Linked DNA regions of Arabidopsis thaliana. The protein of the gene in region 1 purifies or fractionates together with the protein of each later gene. This does not show direct contact. Each region holds a gene or a part of one and is shown in the gene's direction. Other genes may lie near its edges.

Region 1 (4,952 bases):
ATGAAGTGGACGGTTACGTGTATAATTCAGCTGAAGAGCCCAAGATGCTAATGACCGGAAAATGGAACGAGTCCTTGAGTTATCAGCCATGTGATGCGGAAGGCGAACCTCTTCCAGGCACCGAACTGAAGGAGGTTTTATCAATTTCTCTCCTCTAAGCAAACCCTCTGCATACTATATCTAGTCACCTTTCTAATTATGTTACTTCCACAGGTGTGGAAGGTTGCTGAAGCTCCAAAGAACGATAAATACCAATACACACATTTTGCTCACAAGATCAATAGTTTTGACACTGCCCCTAAAAAGCTACTGTCATCTGATTCACGTCTACGTCCTGATAGATACGCGCTGGAGATGGGTGATATGTCCAAATCTGGATTCGAAAAGAGCAGGTTACTAACTACTCATAGTCTTTTGGTTAGCTTCCCTAAGACTACTAATCCCAAAGTAATGCAAAGGCTAATAGAAGCCGGGTTTTTTTTTGTTTTGCAGCCTAGAGGATAGACAAAGAGCTGAGAAGAAAAGCAGAGAAGAGAAAGGCCAAAAATTTGCTCCAAAATGGTTTGATGAAACAGAAGAAGTCACTCCTACACCATGGGGTGATCTCGAAGTTTACCAATTCAATGGAAAGTACTCGGTGCACCGCGCCACAGCTGAAAACTCTGAGGATACAACCGATGTGAAGTTGACCCAATTCAACCCTTGGCAATTCCAAGATCTCTCTGCTTAATCCTTTGGTGCCATTTGTTGTGTAATGCGTTGTTACTTTCTTAGATCTTTCATTTGTTTTTGGTATTAATCACCAGTTTCATTGTAATTTTCCATAAGAAAGAGTCTATATTTTGATAATCTACTCTCTTTGTAAGGCTTTAAAGCTGATTACTGATTTTCTGAGTTGTCTTGAAAGCAATTTTATGAATTGAAGTGACGTCGTTAAAGGAGAAACTATAGTAGAAGGAAACTGAGAAGTTTCTTGGGGCTTAAGCAACTAATAAAAACGAGCAAGCGATTCTTTTCTTTGTTTTTTTTTTTCCTTTTTCTTTCTGTCAATAGATAAACGGAATGGAGCAGAAGTAAAGATAAAATGAAATCACAAGAACATCGAAAGTAAAATCTCTTGGTTTGGTAACAAAAATAGGAAGTTGGTGCCAAAAACAGAAGATAAACCAAAAAAACAAAAGTTAGTAATTTATTGGCTGTCATGGGTGGATGAGGTAATTACGCAAAAGGTCGTGGACTCACGAGGTTGGTTAAAATTAAAAACAACTGCAACATTTATTTTTTAAAACGTTTTTTTGTAACATGAAATTTCTATGAAGATTGGGTAGAATGCATTTACCGCGTTTCATGTGGGACGACGTCTTCTTATTATATCCCTTCGCAACTAAATCCTCGCTTCCATATTTTCTTTCAACACTTTATCATGAATATTGAATACACACACACACTCATAACTATGATTTTTCTTATCGTATTATTTAAAGTCATTAAGTGAACACAAATATATCGTAAAGAAAACATCTAATTATGTTAGGGTTTCTTTCGAATTAGTTCGTTAAATATGTCTAAACTAAAGTTTATATGGTATACTAAACCGACGCATCTTCTTCTGATTGAACCGACGTATTTTTTTAACTTTTAACTGTCTTCCATAACTTCCCATTTTCTTCTCCACCACTCTCTCTCTCTCGCTCGCTCGCATATATATACGTCACTTTTTCTCTGATCTCATAACACTGTTCCGAGAGTGAGGAGTAGAATACCTTATTACCGGTTTAATCAAACCGGTTCAGTTTCCAAATGGATAATCTACTCTGCGAAGAATCTTGGCCCGCGAGTCCTTTAACCCCGGAGCCTTTACCAAACTTCCGTCACCGTTCTCACGACAATGACGTCGTGAAGATGTATCCAGAGATAGACGCAGCGACGATGGAGGAAGCCATTGCTATGGACTTAGAGAAAGAATTATGTTTTAACAATCATGGAGACAAGTTTGTTGAGTTTTTCGTCTCAAAGAAGTTAACCGATTATAGGTTCCATGCGTTTCAATGGCTAATCCAGGTACCTTAATTATTATTATCTCTTTGTTTGTCCTATGTGTGATATTTGATAGTAAACCGCAAAAATTTGTAGATACTTATAACAACCTATAAAATCTTTCAAGATAGCCTTTAAAATTTGGGTTTACGAAAAAGTTTTTTGCATCAAAATTAATTATCGATATTATAAAAATATTTGGTATGTATTATTTTTATTTTTTAACATCATATTGTTTTATAAACCAAAAGTTAATTTTTGGTTTTACTTTCTCAGACTCGGAGTCGGCTAAATCTTTCATATGAAACGGTATTTTCCGCCGCTAATTGTTTTGATCGGTTCGTCTACATGACTTGCTGTGACGTAAGTATACATAAGCAAACACAATTACTTAATGTGATAAAAACTTTATAATTGCGGTTGAATTAATGACATGTTCATTATAAATAAATGCAGGAATGGACGAATTGGATGGTGGAACTAGTTGCGGTAACTTCATTATCGATCGCATCAAAGTTCAATGAAGTTACCACTCCATTACTCGAAGAACTTGAAATGGAAGGTTTAACTCATATGTTTCACGTTAATACAGTTGCTCAGATGGAACTCATAATTTTGAAAGCTCTCGAATGGCGTGTGAACGCGGTTACGAGTTATACTTTTTCGCAAACCCTTGTGTCGAAGATCGGTATGGTTGGGGATCATATGATCATGAATCGAATTACAAATCATCTGCTTGATGTTATATGCGGTAAAATTTGATCTACATATAAAATGTTTCTTGTTATAAATGTAAGATTGACGTGAAACGGGAACTGATATGGAATGTTATTCTTGATGCATGCAGATTTAAAAATGCTTCAATACCCACCAAGCGTTGTGGCCACTGCTGCTATATGGATTCTCATGGAAGACAAGGTGTGTCGAGAAAGTATCATGAATCTCTTTGAACAAAATCATAAGGAAAAAATCGTGAAATGTGTTGATGGGATGAAAAATCGAGACATTGATCATCAGTCGTCGAGAAGAAGATACAGTGAAGGGAGGAGTATTCTGAGTCTGTTGCAGCGAGGCGATGTGATGAATATGAATGGGGATTATAACGTTGAAGATCTCTCTAAAATCTTTCAGATTTTCCGATACGAAAAGAAGAAGAGGGATAGAGGAAACCACCAAGACAACATTCGTCCGGCAAAAAGAATGACAATTGAAATGTCAAATTACATTTAGCATTTTATGAAAGAAGCCTACAAAGAGAGAAATGTTTGTTTGTTTTTTAATTGTTTTTACACATACCTTGACTCAATTGTAATATATACTACAGAATAATGTATTGATTAATAAAAGTTAAAAAAAAACTACTCATATTTTATTTTACAGATAAAACAATCAAATCTATAACAACAAAAAAACTCTAATTGTAATCTGATAAATATATACATATCATTTTATAATAATTAAATAAAATCATGGAATATTATTTAATGTAATCATGAATACATTCATTATATATACATATATATATATATATATATTTTTTAATTTATTTTTGACGACAAAAAAATATAAATGAGTTTATAATTACATTAAATATTACCCCATAATTTTTTTTTTGTTGGTGAGGCCATGATTTTGTTTTACTGTCAGAAAATTCTAGCAAAAAAAGGAAAAATGTGTTGCAGGATATAACACGTGGCGAAATATGAATGGATCGGAGAAAGAGAGCAGTGTAGCCACAAGCTAAATCCTGAAGTGATTTCTGAAGATAAAGATTGTTCATATCAAGTAGTTTTCGTTAATTCACTCTACAAAGGAAAATAATGAGCTCGTCGCCGTTATCTTCATCTCTCTTTCATCCTCTGTCGACCTTGTCGACTCATTGCCATGGTCGGAGACAGAACCTCTGTTTCAATCGGAAGCAACAACCTTTCGTTGTCAGAGCCGCAAAACTTCCTGAAGGGGTAACGTTTGGAACATTTTTTCAAATATTCAAATGTCTATCTTCAATGGTAGTTAAATCGTGTTTTTCGCAGGTGATAGTGCCAAAAGCACAACCCAAATCTCAACCTGCGTTTCTGGGATTCACACAAACAGCTGAGATATGGAACTCACGAGCTTGCATGATTGGTCTCATCGGTACTTTCATCGTCGAACTGGTGAGGGTTACTAGATGGTTTCTTTTTGCAAGAATTGATTTAATCTAACATACAACGAAACCAAACTGAAATATACGTTTTCCAGATTCTGAACAAGGGAATACTTGAACTGATCGGTGTAGAGATTGGGAAAGGACTCGATCTTCCTCTATAATGTATATCACTGTTTGTGTTCTTTCCAACAAAAACATCTCTTATGAAATGTAAAATTCTCAAGTTTAATTACACATCAAAACGTGACATTTGTTGTAAAAGTTTGAGATTCTTTTAGAGTACACGAGTGGTGCGAGCATCTATGATTGCTACTTTACCTAACGGCTCTGAGAGAGTCAATGCTTCTGATAGAGAAATGCGTTTGTTTCTCCACGCTGATTCGGCCCATGATTTCATTTTCTCTCCTTCGCTTTTTCTGTTCTCTTGAATCAGTAGTAACTCCGCATACCCGGCTGCACAATCGAAAAATCGAATACGCTTATTATAAGCTAACCATGGCAATCGTTTCTGTTTGCAAGCAAACGAGCTTAAGCTTACCTCTTGCTAAAGCTATTACTTCTTGATTTTCCATGTTTATTATCCCTAAAGAATGCAGAAAGAAGTTGTTGAGGACAATCGTTGTTTATCTCAATAACCTGCAAAGTAGATAGATGTCTGTAAGTACCTTTTGAATCCAGTGGAGGTGCTTTCATGAGCTCCAATGCTTTTCTGTAGAGGCCCTGAGATGAAAAAGAAACAGGGGTAAGATGACGAAACTCCAATGTT
Region 2 (4,435 bases), about 16 Mb from region 1:
TTATAGATGACTAATTGATAAATAATTTTTCATACAATGTAAATAAAGAAATAGTATAAAACATGTTAAATATTTATATAGATATATTTTCTAAACATTCATGTATCACGGAACGAAAATTGGTCGAGAGTAAGATACACAAGTCAAGATAAAGATGTGAAGTGTAAAATTTTCACATGAAGAAGAAGGGATTGTTGTCCAGTTTGCCATTTTTTGGATTTTTTTCTAAAAATGATAATTTTACTAAACTTTTACAATTTTGCCATTTTTAACATTTAAGATATACGTATTTACGATTTTTTTTTTAAACACGTATTTTATACCAAATACTAAACCAAAAAAAAACCCGACTAATTTTATCATAATGGGTAAAACACAAGTTAAATCACTTTTTTATACCTGAAAAATGATAAAATTTTAAAAACTATTTAAAGATGGCAAAATCTATAAATGCCATAAGAAGAATAGCAAAATTCGTAATTAATTCGAAAAACAATCGAAACCTTACAAATCATCGTAATTAAACACATGTTAGAGTCATTTTTGTATTAAAAGAAACCCTCATATATCAGAACAACCGAATTGGATACAAGATTACATGATAAATGATCGAGAATTGGCGAGTTATGTATAAGATATGTCAAAGGTCTTGCTGGACATTCGGGTTCGATGGCAATTTGAACACTTTCGATAAGTAACTAATAGAATTGGCCAAAGAGGTCTTATAAGGCTGGTTGACTAAGAGGGTCCCATGCATTTCTTTCACACTAAAATAGATAAGGGTCGGCTCTTTTGTAGGTCCAATATAATATGCGTTACTTTCAATTTCAAATTTTAGTTAAAAAACATTTCAAATTGTTCTTCTTCATATTTTACATTAATTTTCATAACGTTTTGAATGCGAATAAATCTAATGCTTATGTGACACAATGTCAGCCCTAGCTAGTCCCGACCTTCCTCAACTTGTCTCTATCACCATTCATGTCTCTCAAAGGTCCATTCATCCTATCGCCTAATAATTGAATATTGATTACTTTTATTACATAAAGAAATATAGAATATAATATATCAAAGTTAACTATAAAATTGTAAATTGTAAAATGTAAACCTTAACTAAAAGATGTATTTGATTACATCATCTTTTTTTTGTCTAAAAGAAATTGGGATGGACCTTTTATCTATTTGTATCTCTTCGTCTCATGGTCCGGAATAATAACTAAAATTTACCTAAAATTTCAAATTTCTTGGTATCATAAAATAACTACAATGCAACATTGACTTATACTTCATATCGCACGTATCGGATTTAAGATTTCTAGGGTTCCAATCTTCATGTTCGACTCTAGAACCAGAGGGAGAGCAATCCATCATGCTGATAATCACCCGCCAATCTCTCTTATCCTTATCTTTCTAATGACTAGAATTAGCTGCATATATATTGTTTGTTTGATATTGACATTGTATTTGTACACATAATGGCTTCTATGTATATATAAGTGCATGCATGAATCCGTGATGATGGCACACCTTAATTACGAACATAACTTTAAACTGTATTAATGATCGATTAGTTATAGATATATAATATATTGTTGTTTGCCTCCATGGTTAGCTAGTTTTTGACATGGCTTGATATGCTACTGATGTTTTCTAACGTTGCTGTTTATTGAATTGTATATATCATATAGTTTAATAATGTTGATGAATAAGCCGTGAGTGATATAAATTCCAAACTCATTTTCCACAAGATTCACACTAGATTTTGTTTTCGGCAGATTCCATGATTGTTGATAATCTTATCAACCAAAATTAGAGAGAAGGCAGATGAATATTTAAAGTGATGGGGAAAATTCAGTGTGTCAAAACCGACGTCGTTTTGATGACCAACAAACTGACGAACTGAAGTTAAACCGAGTTAATTTCAGTTTGAACCTAAACCCAGAGAAAACCATAAAAAAATGTAAATTAACGATAACCGATTAGAACCAAAGAGGGTAAATAAACCAAACCGATGTTCTCTTCTTCGGTTCTTCTCTTACCTAAAGAAAGAAACCTCGCGGGAAAGTAAACTGGGGGCAAAATCGGGAATCACTAAAAGGATATAAAGGCGGGAAAAAGAGCCGTTGCGAACCAAAACTCTCAAACTATGGCGCCAAACAAAAGACGGTGGTTGCGACTCTGCCCGTAAAATTTCTCGGGCACCTAAATTTTTATTCTTTTTAAATTTCCAATTTTATCCCTTTTTTTCTTCATCTTCTTCGCAAAGCTTTTTTCTCCTGAATATTATTTTGACTATTTAAACCCTCTCTTTATCTCAATTTCCTCTCATTTGTTTTTTCTCATTCTTCTCAACAACAAAAAAAATTCTTCCTTTCAGACCAAAAAATTTGACCAACCACAAATTTTTAATCTTTTTCCCCACTTTCATTTTATTCCGATTCCTCTTCTTCTAATTGGAACAAGTCTCTGTTTTTATCTCTCTGTTTTCTTTTTGGGTTTACTCTGTTTTTTCATTTATCTTGGTTTTGAGTTAGTTAAAGAGAGATGGGTTTTTCGAAGAAATCTCAATTCGAAGGAGGTTTAGAATCCGACGGGAAGAAATGGGTTATCGCCGGAATTTCGATTCGGGCTTCGTTGAAACCAGTCAAGACGAAACTCAGAGCGCCGCCGGAGATAGTGACCGAAGTTGAAGAAGATTGCTACAACGAAGAGGAAGAGTGTTCGACGACACCGACAGCGAAGGAAACGAAGATACCGGAGTTATTGGAATGTCCACCAGCACCGAGAAAACGACGGCCGGCGTTAAAATGTCGGAGTAACGTCGTTAGAGAGTTTTTTACGCCTCCTTCTGATTTAGAGACGGTGTTTCTACGTCGCCGTTAGTGAGATTTGAGTTTTTTTTAATATAGTTCTCTAGTTATATATTAGTTACAGGCCATGAAAACTTTGGTTATTAGACTTAGAGTTAAAAATATATGATAATGAATCTAATTATGATAATGCGTATCTTCCAAATTAGCCTTGTTCATCACATTTGGTTTCATTAATATTTTGGTTATACATATATCAACAAATAATCAGTCCAGATTTTATAAAAACACTAATTTGATGTAGAAAATTTTATACTCAGAGCCTTGGATTAAGCCTACGGAGACTAAAGGAGAAGTGACGCGAGCAAATCTTACCAGTTAGCTCAACTACCTAAATATAATAATAAAATTACCAATAATTTGTGACAAGTCCACACGGCAAGCTTTTGACTCTCCACTATACTCGTTTTTTTTGGGCAAATCCACTATACACGTTTATAGGTTTTTTTTTTGTTGTTGGTAAAACTCGTTTATAGGTTAATAACTTAAACTATGTATTTGCATAATTATTGTTTCCTTTATCTAATGTTCTAGATGTGGGCCAATATAGTTTTTATTAACAAATAATATGGTGGGATCTAATACAAAAATCTTTAATTTCAAATAAAAAGAGGTAAATCATACTATTTGGAAAGAGAAGAAATCAACAATTTTATAATGCACACATGTAATGTTTTTTATATGCTTTAAAAGGATTCTGAAGAATTTCAATGCATGACTTTTTTTTAAGGAGGCCTCTACTTCTAAAGCCATCCCAACAAATATGATACTTTCTTTTTTCAGGTTAAAGAGCTTTTTGCGTGCACAATTGCACACTCACTAAGTCATTAGTATCTTTAATTCATTGACCACTACTTTGTATTGTAACAAATTAATTAAATAAACTCATAAGACATTATGATTAGTAATTACTCATGCTACGCACCAATAGTACTATTTGCAGATTAAATGTGTTGCATGCAAGTAAGTCACTAATTCTCAGTTGTGTTCTTGTGGATTGAGTCATGAAAAGGACAAAATAGGGTTCAGAGAATAGCGGTGCGATGGGAGAATCCAATGTGGGACTTAAGGCCTTGTTTGGTTCCTTTACGAGACAACGACCAATCTCGTGTTTTTTTCCTCTTTTTTTTGAAATGCCAAATACAAGAGAAATATTTGAATAGAAGGAGACTATGACGATTGACGAGTTTGGATCATTCTTGTGAACGAGTTTATTTCACTGTCATGACTTTAGGAACTATAATACATTTCTTTTCAGGAAAAAATTATATTGCCTGCCGAATGTACTAGCAATTCAAAATGAGAATCCAAGTTTGAGGATTAGGTTCACCTTTCACAAGTCTGTAAATTTGTTCTAGTTAGCAATTCCAAAACAATAGCTTTTAGTGTCCCAACTGATGATAGCCGAATCTTCCATTTTAGGAGACTTTAAAAGATTAAATTCTAAGCTGAAAGTGCGGATGAAGTAATATAAATTGCAAGGAAGAAAAGACACAAGAATTTTGTTAACGAGATTCGGTTTTTCCTACTTTCCGGGAGAAGTTTAGATTCAATTTCAGTAGAAT

What was found. The genes of interacting proteins can lie anywhere in the genome.
Region 2: the proteins of CYCD7;1 (region 1) and AT5G40460 purify together in Arabidopsis thaliana (affinity purification with mass spectrometry, with the first as the bait; one large-scale study listed by BioGRID). This does not show direct contact.

What each region holds. Positions count from the first base shown.
Region 1 is NC_003076.8:415,287-420,238, forward strand, and holds CYCD7;1 (CYCLIN D7;1), read left to right. Parts: upstream 1-1,630; 5' UTR 1,631-1,800; coding exon 1,801-2,061; intron 2,062-2,313; coding exon 2,314-2,400; intron 2,401-2,493; coding exon 2,494-2,788; intron 2,789-2,884; coding exon 2,885-3,267; 3' UTR 3,268-3,380; downstream 3,381-4,952. Other genes in the region: UNE18 (Oxysterol-binding family protein), read left to right, coding at 1-134, 214-392, 493-730; OHP (one helix protein), read left to right, coding at 3,858-3,998, 4,071-4,193, 4,279-4,347; NDP1 (Tetratricopeptide repeat (TPR)-like superfamily protein), read right to left, coding at 4,461-4,639, 4,725-4,769, 4,852-4,906.
Region 2 is NC_003076.8:16,199,921-16,204,355, forward strand, and holds AT5G40460 (cyclin-dependent kinase inhibitor SMR3-like protein), read left to right. Parts: upstream 1-2,221; 5' UTR 2,222-2,544; coding exon 2,545-2,883; 3' UTR 2,884-3,438; downstream 3,439-4,435.